Mus musculus: one gene and its partner. The protein of the gene in region 2 binds, or shares a complex with, the protein of the main gene of each other region. Links are inferred from orthologs where the notes say so. Each region holds a gene or a part of one and is shown on either strand. Other genes may lie near its edges.

Region 1 (4,861 bases), on a different chromosome or scaffold from region 2:
TTTAAAGACAAGATCAACAAGAGAAGCTTGGAGTGACACACATCCACTGCACACAATGTTTCCTTTTCTCAGAATGCGGCTTTTGCCTCTTCTCTGCTTACCCATTCTTAGTCACTGTGTGAGAAGACTCCCAACAACTCCTCAGTTCTTCAAGCTGTGGCCAAGGGACAGTGTTTTAACTTGTTTTAAGCACAAGGAACTTAATCCTGACTCTTACCTCAAAAGGATGGCTGTCAAGTGTGTTTGTAATTGCCTTGGGACCTAGTAGATCTGTAAGACTTATAGATTGGGCGTGGAGGAAAAAAAGCCACCACTGGCTTGGAATTGAGAATGGAGCTGAGTTTTCATTGCTTTCCATATTAAATCCCATAGTGCTGTGCACATGAAATGTACTATTTGTCCTCCTTCCCACTCTCTTGGTTGAAGACTTTTCTGAACATTGTTTTATGTATCCAGCAAGCTGCTAGTCAAACAATATTCCACTGATATGTTTTTTCAATGGAGGAATGAAGGGTGCTCATCTCTCATATTTAGGCTGTTTGGTTTTAAGTCTGTCACATGAGATGGACAAAGGCAAAGTATTTATCTGCTTTAACAACAACAACAACAACAACAACAACAACAAAACAAGCACGTAAACGAACAAACAAAAAACACTAGGGCCCAAACTCCGGGCCTCATGAATGCTAGGAAAGTACCCTATAGCCAAGCTACCAGCTAGCCCTTGTTAGTTTTAATTTCTTATTTTGTGTCGGGGTCTAAGAGGGCCATGCCTGCAACAGATGCCTCCTTTTGTCTCTCAAGTGTTGGGTTTACTGGCCACTCCACGTTAAAAGGGGGCTTTTTAATCTTTTCCAATGCAGAAGTGTGATAGCAAGGTTTCCAAACATGATGGAGTCAACATACAGAGTGACATCTTACGGTTGCCTGCAAATTGAAAACTGATAGTGACTTTAATGCCTGTAATAAACCAGACACCTAGAAACGACAAGAAGAAATTAAATAATAGTAGAAGTTTTTTGTTTGTTTGTTTGTTTGTTTGTTTTTTCTAAAAAAAAAAAAGCTTGTGAAAAATGCTGCTTTATAGACTTTCAGTCCTCTGGCCTTAAAAGTACCAGATTCCTTAAAAAAAAAAAAATGAGTAGTTGTTGAGGAGCATGCAGAACGAGTTTATAGTAGGAAATATAAATTGATTTTATTGCTCTGAAGAAAGATACAGGCTTGAAATGCAACCTTCTAGAGGAAAATTAACCGACTCAGAGATCTCGTATGCTGGTCTTCCGGCGGCAAATTATCTCTGAAGTTTAGCAAAACTTGGGGGTACCATAGGTGCCTGTTGGGTTGGTGGCAGGGATAGAGATCCGAACCTCTCTATCGAATCTGTCTGCGATCCATTGGGATCCTCTGGATCTCAAGATCGGCTTTGGATTAGTCTTGTCTGAACCAGCTGTGGAAAAGGGCGGAAGCGCGCAATTTTAAAGTCTGCGCCGGTGTCCTTAGCCACTTCCGGCGTGGCCATGGCGGCTAACGCGACCACGAACCCGTCCCAACTCCTGCCACTAGGTAAAAGTCTTGTTTGGGGAGCGGTCGGGTTGCTGCAATTCCACGCTGGGGGCCGAGGCTGGGCCACCGCCCCTCCGGGCCCGGCTGTCCGGTCCTTGGCGTCACTGGGCAGACAGACAGACCGTTTTGCCTGTCGGTGGTCGGTGAGGGTCCCACTTAGTGAAGGACGTGCTCGGCCTTTTTGAGCTCGCCAGTAAGATGTCATGAGTCGCGCAGTCCCAGTTCTCAGCTTGGCCTTCTTGGTCTCCAGATCAGGTAGACCCTGTATTGGCTTGGGTAAGGAGTGCGCCACGGCATACAATGAATCTTACAATAGAAATCTGGAAACTAGCCCCGTCGTTCATTAATTCAACAAGCAATTCCCGCGCAGTGCCAGAGAACTGTTGAATAATGAACTTGAATTACAGCCATTGCTTTCAAGATCGCACACCGGCACGCATCGTGCTGAGCAATTCTAAGATGCTGAGATGAACAGGTTGGCCCAGGAGCACAGAGAGTTAAGGTTAAGTGAGAGAAGGAGTGACGGGAAAGCCGGTGTCTGTAATAATGCTTCTCCCTTGTCATGTTTTGGGGCTGGTGAGCTTAGTGAATGTGTCTGTGATTGAAAGTTTTTGCAGTGTTAGATATTGTTTATCGGTACAAACACTGATGAAGAAAAACAGTTATGGTCTCCACCCACCTCATGGTGTGTGTTTTCATACATTAATCAAATAATCTAAATAAAAATCACAGTCCTATTAATTGCAAATAAAGAGTTAAGTGAAAGCTAAGGCAAACATTTGTGCTAACGATTAAACAGAGATTTGTGTAAGATGTAAAATTACCGAATGGTTCCAGATACATATGTAGGAGAGTATGGCCTTTTTTGACATCATTGGGAGGGGAGGCTCTTGATCCTGTGGAGTTTGATGCCACAGCATAAGGAGAATGCTGGAGTGGGTGGGTGGGTGGGGGAGCACCCTCATAGAAGCAATTGGGGAGTGGGGAGAAGGTAGATATGGGAGGGGTGTTGTGGAGGGGTAACCAGGAAGGGGGAATATCATTTGAGATGTAAACAGATGGAATGATTAATAAAAGTAAGTAAATAAATAAATAAATAGCAAAAAACTGAATGTTTTTGCTTATCTTTAATGATAAAAAATAATAAGTGAAGTAGGCATTCAAATGTTGGTCGATCTAATAAGTAGGTAAAATTACCCTTTTCCTTCCACAGAGCTTGTGGACAAATGTATAGGGTCAAGAATTCACATTGTGATGAAGAGTGATAAAGAAATTGTCGGGACACTTCTAGGATTTGATGACTTTGTCAGTATCCTTTTTAAAAGCGGGAATGGTGTAGGTTTCTAAAGATGTATTAATATAAGAAAGAACTATAGACAACCGAAGAATTTCTGGTTATTACATTAAGAATAATTTTGTTTTCCAGGAACTTGGTAGTATTTTAAGAGGTGTGTTTGCTGACAGTTGATAGGGCTCTTGCCAACAACAAACCTTTTGAATTTGCACTATCATAGTGTTGAACATATTTTAAACCAAACAAAAACATATACCTGAATAAACCTTATTTATTTTCTTAACATTAAATTCAGATATGGTGTTGGAAGATGTCACAGAATTGTGAGTAGTATTTAAAAAATTAAAAAAATTTGAGAGGAGGGGAGGAAATCTCTTTTTAATTAAAGATGGTGCCTTGATTACTTTTTTCTATTAATGTGAAGAGACAGCATGACAAAGGTATCTTATGGAAGAATGCGTTTAACTGGGGGCTTGCTTACAGTTTCAGATGGTTAGAGTCCCTGACTGTCCTAGCTAAGAGCTTATATGTTAGATAATAACCAAGAGAGAGAGAGAGAGAGAGAGAGAGAGAGAGAGAGAGAAGTAAATAGAGAACGCGAGCGCACTAAGTGGGTATAATTTAGGTTTTTGGAATCTCAAAGCCTAACAGGGTGATACACCTCCTCCAAAAAAGGCCACACCTCCTAATCATTTCCAGTTTGCCAACAGAGGACCAAGTGGAGGCCATTCTCCTTTAAACCTCCATAGCAGCTTTAGTATGATCGATATAAAAAAAATTACTTGTTGGAAAATACCTTAATACTGAAACGTTATTTACTGGTGTTTGTGAGGTCCAGTTAAAGGATTATTATCTTCATATTATTCCTGAATTTGTAAGAAATTAGTGTGAACAAGCTTTATGGTGAATTATATTTACATGAGTATTATCCAATGGGCAGTTTGTATTCTGTATATATTTACTGTAATTATATGCGTTCACATTGAATCATGTGTAAGAATAACAGCTTTGTCACTAGGGATTGAACCCAGGGCCTTGTGTGTGTGCTCTGCCACCAAGCTATTCTCCTTACCCCAGTAGGACTTTTAGGGAGGGAAAGTGTTTCTAATACTGCCTTTGATTACTTGTTTATCCAGACTCCATTTAATCTATCTTTTTAGTGAAATTACACCAGAAGGAAGAAGAATTACAAAATTAGATCAAATTCTACTAAATGGAAATAATATAACAATGGTAAGACATTAAAACTTTTCTCTGGAAATTATTTTACTTTTGTAGTGTAGGGATTATGGAACTGACTTAAACTTCTATTTCGTTGGCAATGTTCATGGCACTGAGATAGACACACTGAGGATGGGAAGGGAGCCTTGGTGATCTGTGCCTCAGGGCAGCTGTTGAAAGTGCTTTGGTCCTTGTCTTAGTCAGGGTTTCTATTCCTGCACAAACATCATGACCAAGAAGCAAGTTGGGGAGGAAAGGGTTTATTTGGCTTACACTTCCATACTGCTGTTCATCACCAAAGGAAATCAGGACTGGAACTCAAGCAGGTCAGGAAGCAGGAGCTGATGCAGAGGCCATGGAGGGATGTTCCTTACTGGCTTGCTTCCCCTGGCTTGCTCAGCCTGCTTTCTTATAGAACCCAAGACTACCAGCCCAGAGATGGTCCCACCCACAAGGGGACCTCCCCTCTTGATCACTAATTGAGAAAATGCCCCACAGTTGGATCTCATGGAGGCATTTCCTCAACTGAAGCTCCTTTCTCTGTGATAACTCCAGCTTGTGTCAAGTTGACACAAAACTAGCCAGTACAGTCCTTAGGATTAGCTTGCTTATTAATCTTTGTCGACTTCTAGCTCATCCGGAATCATTAATAACTTAGACGTCAGCTAGTGATGTAGGGATTACTAACAGATGGACTTGGAGAAGATGGGATGTGAAGGATGGGGGAGAGGCAAAGCTGGCTTTGGTCCACGAGGGACACGAAGGGTTTTTTAGGTGGTGTGG
Region 2 (5,040 bases):
CCTAGTGTTCTCCATGTCACCCAGGGCTATTGTCCCCACCTTCCACTGAGACCAGAGTAGGACCTTACTTGAGGACAAAGGAACAAATACACAGTAAAGCTAGTCTAGGACTCTAAGCAAGATAAGCCAAGCAGCTGGTGCCACTCTGTCACCCTTCAGACTGTCCCTTACACCTTAGAGTGAGGAACCTGGTACAGAGAAGGGATTGTAAGATTCACTTCACAGTAAAACCAACCCCCAAACAACTGAGACTGCAGGAGGGGGTGTCACTTTTCAGGGTTACACAGCAACTAAGTATAGGACTTAGATTTAGATCACAGGGTAAAAGGCTGCACTGGGCATGGAAGAGGGTGCTGTGGAGCCCACTGGTCTCCATCTGTGTCTTTAAGGAGCAACCGATCACTTAGAGCAGAAATGGAGCCCTCTTCTCAGAGCCCCCCCAAAACAGAGCCAACCAGCAGCCAGCCTGGAAGACGCCCCTCCCCAACCCTGGACCCAGACTACAGTCCCCGAGAGAAAAATTAAACGCTTTATGGCCAAGTACAGTGTGAGACTTCTGAGGGGAGTTGGCTGTGGGTCGGAGATAGGTAGCGGAAGTGGGTGGCAGAGGTTGAGCTGTTTCCCCCACGCCCTGGAAACCCAGGCTACACCTCATTCTCAACAAGCCGTCTCTCTACTGAGGCGTGGGGCACCGGAAAGGAATCCGCTGAGACTTTGCCATGCTTTCCCCAACATGCCAGGGGACCTAGAAATCTTAGTGAACAGGACCCTGCCTCTGAAGGCGCTCAGTCTCGGGGTGGACCTTCAAAGGTGCCCATCCCCCACACCAAACCACACCAGCGAGGTGCTACACCGGAAGTCCAGAGAGGAGCAACGACTATCAGATGGGAGTGTGTGAACCCTTAACTTAAACCCTTAACCCTTTACTCAACCCAAAACAAAGCAACCAAACTAAACAAACAATCAAACAAACAGAAACCCAGGAAAAGTCGAGAAAAGCATGTAATCCCAGCCTGGGCTACATAGTTAACAGGCTAGACAGAACGGGAAAAACAAAAAAAGGAGGGAAAGCATATACATGCACAAATGTGCCGAATTTGCACTCAAGCCTGGAGTGGCCATGCACACGAGAGGCTGACAGAGGGACTGTGGTGGGTTTGAAGACAGCCAGGGGTAAGTAACAAGTACTAGACCTACCTTTACAAAAAAAGAAAACTAGAAACAAACCATCACTCAGTATCACCAGGTTTATAGGCACAAATTCAAAGAGCACTCCAAAGCCTAGTTAAAAAGGTCCAATCCAGCTGGGCGGTGGTGGCGCACGCCTTTAATCCCAGCACCTGGGAGGCAGAGGCAGGCGGATTTCTGAGTTCGAGGCCAGCCTGGTCTACAGAGTGAGTTCCAGGACAGAGAAAACCCCTGTCTAAAAAATAATAATAAAACGGTCCAATCCATCAGTCTAGGGGACATAGGATGACGGTAGCGTTCGCTAAAAGAAAGAGTATTTTCCAACTCTGGATGGAGCCCCGGCACTAGGGAGCTTGCTTGGACAGTCACTGGAGAGGGGGCTGCCCACAGAGAGACTTGAGGCACAGAGCACCACGAAGCGATCAGAGTGGAAGGGGAAGGAGGCAGGGGAAACTTCTAGCTCCGGAGATGATGACCCAGTACCATGCTAAAGTTCTTACGGCTCTACGACTACCATCTTAGATGGCGCGAGAGGGTGGACGGCGCAGTCTCTACAGGTGCGCGTGCGCAGAGACCAGTAGCTGGCAGGCGGGACCGCGCACCCTCAATCAGTCCCTCCCGTGAGCCTTTGGAGGTTCCCAGGCAGGCCCCGGAAACAGCCCCTCTTAGTTTCCGGCAACAGGAACGGGGCGGTCGCGCGACCCGGAAGCGTTCCCATTTCGCGTCGTCTGGGCTAGGGTAGCGGCCCGGCTCCAGGCGGACGCAATAATCATGGGGTCGTCAAAGAAGCACCGTGGCGAGAAGGAGGCGGCCGGGACGACGGCTGCGGCCGGGACTGGGGGCACGACCGAGCAGCCGCCACGGCATCGCGAGCATAAGAAACACAAGCACCGGAGCAGCGGCGGCGGCAGCAGCGGCGGCGAACGACGGAAGCGGAGCCGGGAGCGTGGGAGTGAGCGCGGGAGCGGGCGGCGTGGGGCGGAAGCCGAGGCCCGCAGCGGCGCGCACGGTCGCGAACGAAGCCAAGCGGAGCCCTCGGAGCGGCGCGTGAAGCGGGAGAAACGCGATGACGGCTACGAGGCCGGTGAGGGCGGGGCCCGGGGGCGGGGCAGGGTCTTGGGATGCCCAGGACGGAGGGTACGGGAGGACCTCGAGGGCCATCTGCCTCTCGGGTTAAAGACGTCCTCCGGGTGTTTGGGGTTAAACGTTGACGTCTCCACGTTAAGCTTTAAGAAGACAGGAGTCTTCCTGCCTTCCCTGTCTTCCTGGCACTTCACAGCAATGCATTGGGTGGGTGAATGAGGTGGGACGAGCGTGTACAGACAATCGACCAATAGCTCATAGCGGAGACATGAAGCAGTAAGATAGGCTTGGGTCTGAACCAGCGCTGTAAGCCCTGTTGAGAAGTTTGGGCTTTGTTATGAGGATGGTAGGGAGCCAAGGATTTGAGTAAGCAAGTGACTTGAATTGCATGATATTTTATGAAGATCAGTGGGTTGAGAGCTTGTCAAACGTAGGACCAGAGATCAAGAGATCGGGAGGGAGGTCCAAGCAACCAGGTGAGGGCTAATAGTATGCATGTTTCTCTATGCAGCGGGCCGGAGAGAAGTGGACAGATTGAATAGGAATTCGGTCTGATTGGCCTGGTGAATGGAGGTGTCATCTGTTGGAACTGAGTTTAGAAGAGAAGCAGATTTGAGGCAGGGGAGAATGACACAGTTTTGGGAGAACTTTATGTTTGGTGTATATGGGAAACCTTACAGTTTAAGTGAGATAGAGTGACTTTGGGCTGGTGTGTATTCAGGAAACCAAAGAAGTGCCTTAGAACATGTGGAATGAGAACGAGAGTCAGGCATAGAACCTGCTAAATTCCAGTAGTTCAGTTGTGGGCAGAGGAACATGTTGAGGAGCATAAATAGTAGCCAGTGGCAGGAACCCACAGTCTGCCCATAGGATCTATGCAAAGAGAGCATTGCTGAAGTGTGATCCACCACAGGACATTAATCTTTTAAACAAAGGATTGTTTTTATGTTAATGCATTTGAGTATTTTACCCTCATGTGCCCGTGCCAGCAGAGGTCAGAAGAAGGCATCGGATCCCCTGGAACTGAATTAGATGGCTGTGAGTTGCCATATGGATTCTGAGAACCAAATTTGGGTCCTCTGTAAGAACAGCAAGTGCTCTTATCCCCTGAGACATCTCTCCAGTCTCCAGATCAGAAATTTTCTTGAAAGTAATCTGCTAGTTGGAAAAAGGGAGACTTGGGACTTGACAGTTCCCACAGAAAGTGGAGTGGTGCCAAGGCAGAGAAAGGGACTGTTGGGTTAAAGAAGAGAGTGACTGCAGTGGTTGAATACGGCAGAGATTTTTGAGAAGATGCCCTCCTGGTAGGGCCTGGTTGGGGGAGCTAAATTTGATGCATCTTCCTCTGTATGGTGTTTGTTGAAGTTCTCTTCTGTTTGTGGGATGGGTAGAGCAGGTCCAGGGTGCATGCCTGCTTATTTATGTTCTTGTTTATGTACATGTACCTGTTCAGCAGCCATGGATGAGCTGGGTTACCCTGAAAGGGGGGCTGGAAATGAAAAGGACTGGGTGCGAGAGAAGGATGAAGCCAAGACAAACGTTTCTGCACGGCTCAAAGTTCAATAGTCAGCCCTGCATTTATATAGGGAGAGCCCGCAGATTTGTTTCTGCTGGACTGAGCTGCAAAGTGAGCTCAGTGGGCAGTCTGCTCCTGTGGGAAGTTGACTCCACCTGGGTCTGGGTCGTTACTGTAGCCTGCTCAAGGCTGGGGGAAGGGCACGTGTATACATCGGGCGTGGAACACTGCTGTGGGCAGAAAGGGCCAGAAATGGTGAGCAGTGCTGTGCAGTTGAAGGCAGAGCCTTAACTCTGGTTAGTAATTGAACAGGGCTTCATGGTGGTTCGAACTCAGAAGTCCACCTGCGTCTGCCTCCCAAGTGCTGGGATTAAAGGCGTGCCCAGCCCACTGCCCGGCTCTTGATTCTTGATAGAATTTTATCGGGGCTGGTGAGATGGCTCAGTGGGTAAGAGCACCCGACTGTTCTTCCGAAGGTCTGAAGTTCAAATCCCAGCAACCACATGGTGGCTCACAACCATCCGTAATGAGATCTGACTCCCTCTTCTGGAGTGTCTGAAGACAACTACAGTGTACTTACATATAATAAAAATAAATAAATTTAAAAAAAATAAAAATTAAAAAAAAAAAAAAAAAGAATTTTATCATAACAAGAGCAGAAAGGACAGTGGAGGCTGAAGGTACAATATGGAGTGCCACAGTGAGGGATGCAGAAAGTTGGGCTGTTGGGTGAGAAGGGAAGGTATTGGAAGAGGCAGTCCTGCCAGCCCAGGGCCTGGGTAGGAGCTGTCAGGGAGCTCGGGAAAAGCTCCTGTCCTTTACCCAGGTGCTGGTGAGGGGCCCTTGTCTTTGACCTTGCGGCTGGACCAGCAGTGTTGCTTCCTGGTCCTGGTTCATGGGTCCCTTAAGCCGTTCTCCTTATTGTTCTAGCTGCCAGCTCCAAAGCCAGCTCTGGCGATGCCTCATCCCTCAGCATTGAGGAGACCAAGTAAGTGCCAGCTCCTTAGAGTCTGCTTTCCTCAGAGACAGGGTGCACCTAGGGCAGCCTGCAGAAAGCTTTTCATCATGGGTGGAGCCAGTTGGAAGGGCCAGATGAGTCAGGTAGCCAACCAGAGGAGCGCTAAGAACCAGGAGGAAGGAGGATCCCCTGATGTGGATGAGGGCCTGTGCCTGGTGTCCTCAGGACTGCCAGGTCTCACCTTGTTCTCCCCTCCTGCCTATCCACTAATGCACTTGAAGCCCCACTTCTCAGA

The links. Proteins that work in one complex are often made in the same cells at the same time.
Region 1: Sart1 (region 2) and Lsm5 share a complex: the UniProt entries of both Homo sapiens proteins name them as parts of the U4/U6-U5 tri-snRNP complex. The link is inferred for Mus musculus from reciprocal best matches to the Homo sapiens genes SART1 and LSM5.

What each region holds. Positions count from the first base shown.
Region 1 is NC_000072.6:56,701,325-56,706,185, reverse strand, and holds the start of Lsm5 (U6 snRNA-associated Sm-like protein LSm5), read left to right. Parts: upstream 1-1,486; 5' UTR 1,487-1,517; coding exon 1,518-1,563; intron 1,564-2,776; coding exon 2,777-2,872; intron 2,873-3,152; coding exon 3,153-3,180; intron 3,181-4,017; coding exon 4,018-4,090; intron 4,091-4,861. UniProt on the Homo sapiens protein: Plays a role in pre-mRNA splicing as component of the U4/U6-U5 tri-snRNP complex that is involved in spliceosome assembly, and as component of the precatalytic spliceosome (spliceosome B complex).
Region 2 is NC_000085.6:5,385,547-5,390,586, reverse strand, and holds the start of Sart1 (U4/U6.U5 tri-snRNP-associated protein 1), read left to right. Parts: upstream 1-1,883; 5' UTR 1,884-1,959; coding exon 1,960-2,272; intron 2,273-4,717; coding exon 4,718-4,775; intron 4,776-5,040. Other genes in the region: Tsga10ip (testis-specific protein 10-interacting protein), read left to right, coding at 390-525. UniProt on the Homo sapiens protein: Plays a role in mRNA splicing as a component of the U4/U6-U5 tri-snRNP, one of the building blocks of the spliceosome. May also bind to DNA.